Cricetulus griseus: one gene and its partner. The protein of the gene in region 1 interacts with the protein of each later gene in a pairwise test. Links are inferred from orthologs where the notes say so. Each region holds a gene or a part of one and is shown on either strand. Other genes may lie near its edges.

Region 1 (3,561 bases):
GACTTCGGCCTGGCCATCGAGGTGCAGGGAGACCAGCAGGCGTGGTTTGGTGAGTGTCAGGGGGTGGGCAGGGAGTACTGGCAGTTCCTCATGGCCCTTCATGGTCCCTTTCCCTTTGATAGGATTTGCGGGAACGCCGGGCTACCTGTCCCCTGAGGTCCTTCGGAAGGAAGCATATGGGAAACCTGTGGACATCTGGGCATGTGGTAAGACCTGTGTGTGAGAGGCCGTTGGGTTGCATGATGAATGTGTGGTCGTGTACCTCAGGGCTTACTCCCTCTGTCCCAGAGTGTGCAGGTGGCTGGCTTGTCCCACCCTGAGCCAAGTGTGTGTGTCAGACCTGCATTTGGGCTGCCTTGGCAGGGATCTCAAACCCCAACTAGAATTACCAATGTGCCCCAGGCCATTATGTTTGTCTGCCTGTGCTCATTATAGGTCTGTGTCCAGAGCAAGTGGACACCAGGATACAGGGACCAGGGGCTGTCAGACCACAGGCTCCTTAGGTGGGATCTTCTCTTTCTGGTGGGCATATAGCAGAGGCGGCTGGTCAGGCTCCCTAGTAAAGTAGGGTGGAGATGGAGCAGGGATTAGAGGCTGTTAGAGCCATGCTCCCCATGGCAGGGGAGGGGCAAGGGGACACTGAGGACTGACCCTGGTGCCCTCCAGGGCTATGCTGCTCACCTCCCCATCCACAGGGGTGATCCTGTACATCCTGCTGGTGGGCTACCCACCTTTCTGGGATGAGGACCAGCACAAGCTGTACCAGCAGATCAAGGCTGGGGCCTATGATGTGAGTGGGTGCCGGTGCGGAGGGTGGGGACTGCCACATCCCGGTTCTCCCTTCCTCTTCATGGCCTCTGCCTGGGGAGGGGCTTCAGCCTTGCCCTGTGCACCACTTCCTCCTGTAGTTCCCATCTCCCGAATGGGACACCGTTACTCCTGAAGCCAAAAACCTCATCAACCAGATGTTGACCATCAACCCTGCCAAGCGCATCACGGCCCATGAGGCCCTGAAGCATCCATGGGTCTGCGTAAGTCATCCTTGGCAACCTCTAGGGGCCAGTTCCTGGTGGGCATATCCAGGGCCCCCAAGATAGCTCTGGGGGTCTGTTCCTCGAGTCTGACCACTCCCCTGGTCTGCGAAGGACAAGACTTGAATTTGGGAATAAGTTGGGGACTGCAGGTGGGAACAAGTGATCTCTAGTTGTCATGGTGGCTGGCAGCACTCAGTGTGCAGGCCCTAGAGTGCCACTACCAGGAGCCAGTCTCCTAAGCCTGCTCCTCACTGCCCTGTGACTTCCCTTCTCCTGACAGCAACGCTCCACAGTGGCTTCTATGATGCACAGACAGGAGACTGTGGAATGCCTGAAGAAGTTCAATGCCAGGAGGAAGCTCAAGGTAAGCATGCCTCAGCCCCCATCTGCCTGTCCCAGGGGGCCCCATGCTGCATGTGGGACATGGAGAAGAGTCGTAGGGAGGAGCCCCCAAATTTGTGCCCATTTACAAGTCCAGGGACTCCAGATGCTGTGACAGCTCAGAAGGTCATGGCCCTGCACGAAGAGCTGGCCACTTCAGCATCCTAGGGACAGGTGTACTGGCCAAGAGCAGTCCTGGTGGGCTCAGCAGGTTGGGGAGGCAAGTAGACAGGGCTGATCCTGATCATTGCTGTCCAGTCAAGGCCAGGGCTAGGCCCACGAACCTTTGCTTGCTTGATTGAGTTTCTCCAAAGTCCCAAGGATAGCCCTGACTGCTCTGGGCCAGAGGAGCTGTCATGGTGGCAGGCCTTCCTGGTCATGCCCATTTCTCAGGAGTCTTGATGCTGTGATTGTGGGTAGTGTGAGCCTTAACTATGGACATGGTGACTTGCCTCTGTGCTGCTAGGTTCTGGAACTCTTACTTCTCCAGAAGGCTGGTGTGTGTGTGTGTGTGTGTGTGTGTGTGTGTGTGTGTGTGTGTGTGTGTGTGTGTGTGTGTGTGCGCGCGTGCATGCGTGCGTGCGTGCATGCGCGCGCAAGATACAGAAACTAACAGGGTGACTCTGTCTCTGTTTCTCCTTAGGGAGCCATCCTCACCACTATGTTGGCCACACGGAATTTCTCAGGTGAGACACTCTTCTCCAGGGAGGACCATGTTTCAGAGCCACTCTCATTCTACAGAAAGCCCCCTCCTTCCTCACCAGCCCTCAGTCCCATTCCTCCAAGCCCTCACCTCCAAGACCCACTTCCCAGAAGGCCTTTTGGCTTCCTCATTGGGTAGCTACTAAGGTCTGCCACGCTCCAATCCCACCACCTCCATGTTGTTGGGTCTGTGTCCCTCACCTGACGCCCCAGTGTCTGTTCTGCCGATACCTGGCCTGCCGCCTGTATCCATCCAAGCATCTGTTGGGCAGCCCTGTGGCCTCCTTGTCCTCGGCACTCGAAGCATCGTGTTGTGTGTGGGAGATAGCTGAAGACGGGTGGGTGCAATTGAGGTCCGCGCACAGGGAAACCTCATCAGTTCTGGACGGGCCGCCTACCCAGGTTGTTCAGGGTGGGTGATGGGAAAATGAAGTCTCAAGGGTCTGTTAGAGACCCATGGGACCCACCTGGGGAGACAGTGTTGGCCCTAGTGCCCAGACAGCTATGTCTGTGGCTTCTTCGTCGTCTGACACTAAGTGTGCGAGCGTTCATGGTCGTCTCTCCTTGTCCGTCTGCATCTGGTACCCTGCCTCCTGTTACTTTGCTGTGATGCTGTACTGCCGGGAATGGGCACACAGTCACACCAACACTAATGGGACTGTCCTGTCTGCTGTGTGCCCCGCATGCCCCATCGGGCACAAGAAGCCCCGTTGGGGTGTTCTAAGGAGAAAGGAGGCAAATGCTTTTCCGTGTCTATCGGCCCAATCTTGTTTCACTCTCCTGAGAAAGGGATTCTGGAGCCATCCCCCACCTAAACTTTAACTCTAATCTTCTTCTGCTTCCTTTGTCTCTTCTCTTTCCTCACCTTGCCCCACCCCGTCTGTGTCCGCCCCCTTCCCCCCCTCGTCTCTAACCTGGTGCTAACAGTGGGCAGACAGACCACCGCTCCGGCCACAATGTCCACCGCGGCCTCCGGCACCACCATGGGGCTGGTGGAACAAGGTAGATGTGTCTTGCCCAGTGTCCACCTGCTCCTGCCCATCCCTCCTGTTGGCATGCAGCCCCCCTGCTGCACGCAGCCACTGGCCAGGCCCCCCAGAGCCTCCCCAGAGGCTGGCAGCCCCCTGGGAGCTCTGCTCCTGCCACAGTCACATCCCAGCAGAGCCCCCACCCTGGGCAATAAGGCTTCCCCTCGCTCCTGTCTCATTGTCTGTAAGAGGAGAGGCCACATCAAATCCCAGATGCATTTGGCTGAGACCCTCTGGTCCTGGCCTCTGGGAGTCTGGAGACCCAATTCAGAATGACACTGACCTCACAGGAAGTCACTGAACCTGCTACTGGGGGGTCTCAGTCCTGGAAGGGGAGCCCTTAGATCAGGGTTAGGGAGGTAAGGATGTCCCAAGGAGCTGTAAGGTCCAAGGCCAGTTCTTCCCTAGGGGCAGAT
Region 2 (4,272 bases), on another chromosome or scaffold:
CAGAGGTTGGATCTCAACAAACCCACGTCAATACCAGCTGGGCATGGTGATCTACCTGTAATTCCAGCCTAACAGAGGAACCCCAGAGCAAGCTGGCTAACAAGACGGACCATACCTGCAAGCTCTGGGTTGCGTAAGAGACACTGCCTCAGTGTTAGGGCAGAAGAGCAATGGAAGAGGATCAACATCAGCCCTCCACATGCACATGCACACGTTTGCAAGCACACCTACTCACCCACACCCACACTGCACACACAAGGAAATGGAAAAAGAAGGAAAAACAGTGGAGGGTTGTGAGAGGCCGTTCAGGGCAAGCTGATAGGGTCTGGAGGTATATGCTATACAATAAGCTGCCTTTTGGCCTGAGAGAAATTGTAAAAAGAACCAAAGAATCCTCCTGGAATCTGAAGGATCTCAAACACGGATTTAGTGGATAGTTACTTCAAAGTAGTCTCAGTCTGGGGGCTGGGCATCAGCTTATGCAGAACTTTACACTCTGGACTATTGTGGAAAATAAAAACTTAAGCCTACAATTCGTGGAGCTTCATAGCTAGATGTGCTCAAGGAGAGTCAGTCAGAGTCTTCCAAGGCCGTTGCTATACCAAAGAGCATAGGTACACAAGGTTGCCCAAGGGAGTGATAACAAAGGCTTCAAAACCCCAGGCTTCAAATGCCATTCACTAGAAAGCAACGAATGACAAGTAGCCCTGGAGAGTTGGGGCAGGATGCAGAGTGCTGAAACACATACAGTAAAATCTGCTTCTAATAAAAAAACTGAAGGTCAGGGGAGCAATAAAGTATGCCCAAGGAGCTGCCAAGAAATCATGTTTGATTGGGGTAAGGTTGCAAAAAGCTGATCCCTTTCCTTTGTACAAATAACAGTAACTGCTTTCCGGGTTCAAGTGTTGTTCTAGGCAGTGTGCTATTGAGCTGTCACAATTAATTCCGAAAGGCATCTATAACATCCGTTGTACAGAGGATGAAACAGGACATTCTAACCTGAACCCAATTCTGTCTGATATGGCTCAAGTTCTTAGCCAGAAAGAGCAGCGGTCTGTCGGTTTGTTCCCACTCCATACGTGAAACTACATGAGGAACAAAAAGACCCGAGGGACTCCCACTTGGAGTCCCTTGCTTGCTCCATTTCAAACACTAAGATAATACTGTGTCCGACAGATGGCGACCCAGAGCACAGCTAACAGCAGGCGCAGAAGAAGGCGCCGAAACTACACAGCCCACAATGCCGTGCGGAGAATCAAGGTCCCGCACTCCTGTTTGGCTGTCTAATCTAGTGCCTGTGCGCACTCCTGAGGGTTTGTGTGGACCGAAGCCGTACAGGTTCTCTTCCTGTCTTCATAGCGCAAAGTTTAGATATTTTTGATTCCTTATCCCGTCTTTGGTTGGAGAGTTGTGTGACTGAAACTAGGCTGTTCTTTGCTGGCCTCACCCTAGCCTAACGTGAGGACCCGTGACCTCTGACCCAAAATGGCAGCGCCCAGAGCGTAGCTCTTGCTGCTCCAAGGCGAACTAAGACTGAAAATCCCGCATCATGTCGAAGCTAAGCCGAGTCTCTCGGGCCCTCAGGAAGCCGGAGGCTGGTGGCGTGGTCCGGGCTATCGTGCGAGCAGGCCAAGCTATGCCTGGGCCCCCACTAGGTCCCATCTTGGGGCAGGTGTAGTGTCTGGAACCGGGCCCGGGGGACACGGAAGGCGGTAGCGGATAGATGGGAAGTCGCGGCTCTTCGCACCCGCACGCCTTGTGTCTTTGTGTTGCTTACGTAGCCTCTGTTGACCTCAGTTTCTCTGACCCTTCCCAGTTGGCTAGTTGCTGATTAAGTGGGACCTTGTGGACGAATCGTCCAGACACGAAGCTGTAATTGAATCCGGATAGAAGAAATATAGGAACACGGGAAATGAAGACGAAGGAGGGAAGGGACGGGCTCCTGGGTGGTAGAAACCCTTTAACTCCTACACTTAACTTTATGCTTTCCTCATAGCGAGGCGTCTCTATCAACCAGTTCTGCAAAGAGTTCAACGAGAAGACAAAGGACATCAAAGAAGGCATTCCCCTGCCTACAAAGATTTTTGTGAAGGTGCAGTCTCATTGTTCTGTAGTCTTCTTTGGCGCTTAAAACTAGTCGCCCGGGGTTGCTTCTCTGTCCCTAACCTGGTTGTCACTCTCCACTTTCCTCATCTACACAGTGAAACCTCAACCATAATTTCTCTGAACCGTCTTAGTCCTACCATATTTTTTTAAAGATTTTATTTATTATGTATACAACATTCTGCTTCCATGTATATCTGCACACCAGATCTCATAACGGATGGTTGTGAGCCACCATGTGGTTGCTGGGAATTGAACTCAGGACCCCTGGAAGAGCAGTCAGTGCTCTTAACCTCTGAGCCATCTCTCCAGCCCAGTCCTACTATATTTTGGCTCATATCTTTCATTTCATAGATGTGTGCTATGGTTTTGTGGTGTTAAAGACACCACAGGAAGGCAAGTTGATTTGAGAAGAAAAGGGACATTACAAATTCCCTGAACCTGAATAGAAAACCAAGAAATTCTCAATATCTTTCTTTCTATCAAGCCTGACAGGACATTTGAGCTTAAGATTGGGCAACCCACTATTTCCTACTTCTTGAAGGCAGCAGCTGGGATTGAGAAGGGGGCCCGACAAACAGGTAAGGACTAGAGTGGGTGCCTGAGATTCTGATGTGTCCAGAAAAAAAAGTAGTGACAACTGGAGCTTGTTCCTTCTTCCCAGGGAAAGAGGTAGCAGGCCTGGTGAGTTTGAAGCACATATATGAGATTGCCTGTGTCAAAGCTAAGGATGATGCTTTCGCCCTGCAAGATGTGCCCCTGTCTTCTGTTGTCCGTTCCATCATTGGCTCTGCCCGTTCCCTGGGCATTCGTGTGGTGAAAGAGTGAGTATCCTGAACGGTGCTGTGGAAAGGAAGCTCCTATTTGGGAGTAAAGTGAGAGGGCCCATTATAGTGAAATAGTCAGGTTTAAAAAAATTTTATAGCATGTATTAGTTATACATGATAGCTTTCATTATGATATTTTTATACATGTAGAGTTTTTGTTTTTTTGTTTGGGTTTTGTTTTGTTTGTTTGTTTTTTTGAGACAGGGTTTCTCTGTGTGTCCCTAGCTGTCCAAGAACTGGCTCTCTGGACCAGGCTGGCCTCGAACTCAGAGATCTACCTGCCTCTGCCTCCAAGTGCTGGGGTTAAAGGCATGTGCCACCACTGCCCGGCTACATGTAGAGTTTTTAAGTCGAAGGACCTGAGATTCTAGCAGAAGGATATGGGTGAAAGCCTCTTCTGTTCATTTGGAATATGCTTCATAAGCCCCTGTTATGTGCTAGACATGGTTCAGCACATTGGATATAACCAGAAATGAGCAGTAGTATTTGGCCACTCTGGAAAAATGTATAGTCCTAAGGTAGAGGCAGATCCATACATAGAGAATTAAACTGGCATTTGGTCAGTGTTGTTTAAAAAATCAGTGGATGTCATGAAAGCAGAGAGGAGAGTTCCTGCTTTTACCTGGTGTGTCAGTGAGGACTCTTTGAAGGAGATGACATCAAAACAGCCCAGGAAAAGGAGGGTAAAGGAGCAATGTTCCAAAAAGTGGGAAAATTGCAGTGAATAATGAGAGGTAAGGGGCTGAAGCTACAGGAGTCTTGTCTAGAGGCCGAGTGGGGCATGATCTGAAGCAGGGAGCAGTCGGGGAGGATCTTTTGAGCTGTCTCACATTCAGACTCCATCCTAAGGCCAACAGCTGTCCCAGTCAGCTGGCTTTGGATGATCTCAGGAATTGTTTACTTGAAGTAAATTGTAAGTGGGAGAGCATTTGACCCAGACCATGTCAGAGACTGGAACAGGGACGGTCATCACAGGCCTCTTCGCTGCAGATGTTATACTCCACAGCAAGGCTGGTATTGGCTGATCCTCAGGGAGGCAGTGTAGAGCACAGGTGGCCTTGATGTTTCTTCAGGTCCTTACTTTGTGGGGCATAGAGGGGAGTGTCTACATACAAGCCTATGACTCCCTCATGTGAAGTGTTTGTGGCTCAAAGGAAGGTCTAGTAAATCCCAGTAGTAGAGTAGAGGCCACTGGTTAAGTAGGCCCTTAAGATGGGAATCAAAGCTATGGGAAGGTGGAGTATGTGGTTGTCTCCGATATCTCACTGTATGGATCCAGGTAGAGGAAACCTGAGCAGAGATATGGGAGTTGGGAGTCCAGAGAGGGGAAGGGCAGCTGGGG

Evidence for each region. The genes of interacting proteins can lie anywhere in the genome.
Region 2: the proteins of Camk2b (region 1) and Mrpl11 interact in binary tests that used the Homo sapiens proteins (3 or more experiments, as listed by UniProt). The two-hybrid records come from large-scale screens. The link is inferred for Cricetulus griseus from reciprocal best matches to the Homo sapiens genes CAMK2B and MRPL11.

What each region holds. Positions count from the first base shown.
Region 1 is NW_023276807.1:98,857,852-98,861,412, forward strand, and holds part of Camk2b (calcium/calmodulin-dependent protein kinase type II subunit beta), read left to right. Parts: coding exon 1-49; intron 50-122; coding exon 123-206; intron 207-695; coding exon 696-790; intron 791-908; coding exon 909-1,031; intron 1,032-1,314; coding exon 1,315-1,398; intron 1,399-2,058; coding exon 2,059-2,101; intron 2,102-3,044; coding exon 3,045-3,119; intron 3,120-3,561. UniProt on the Homo sapiens protein: Calcium/calmodulin-dependent protein kinase that functions autonomously after Ca(2+)/calmodulin-binding and autophosphorylation, and is involved in dendritic spine and synapse formation, neuronal plasticity and regulation of sarcoplasmic reticulum Ca(2+) transport in skeletal muscle.
Region 2 is NC_048596.1:54,326,624-54,330,895, reverse strand, and holds the start of Mrpl11 (39S ribosomal protein L11, mitochondrial), read left to right. Parts: upstream 1-1,459; 5' UTR 1,460-1,549; coding exon 1,550-1,672; intron 1,673-1,996; coding exon 1,997-2,092; intron 2,093-2,590; coding exon 2,591-2,684; intron 2,685-2,767; coding exon 2,768-2,927; intron 2,928-4,272.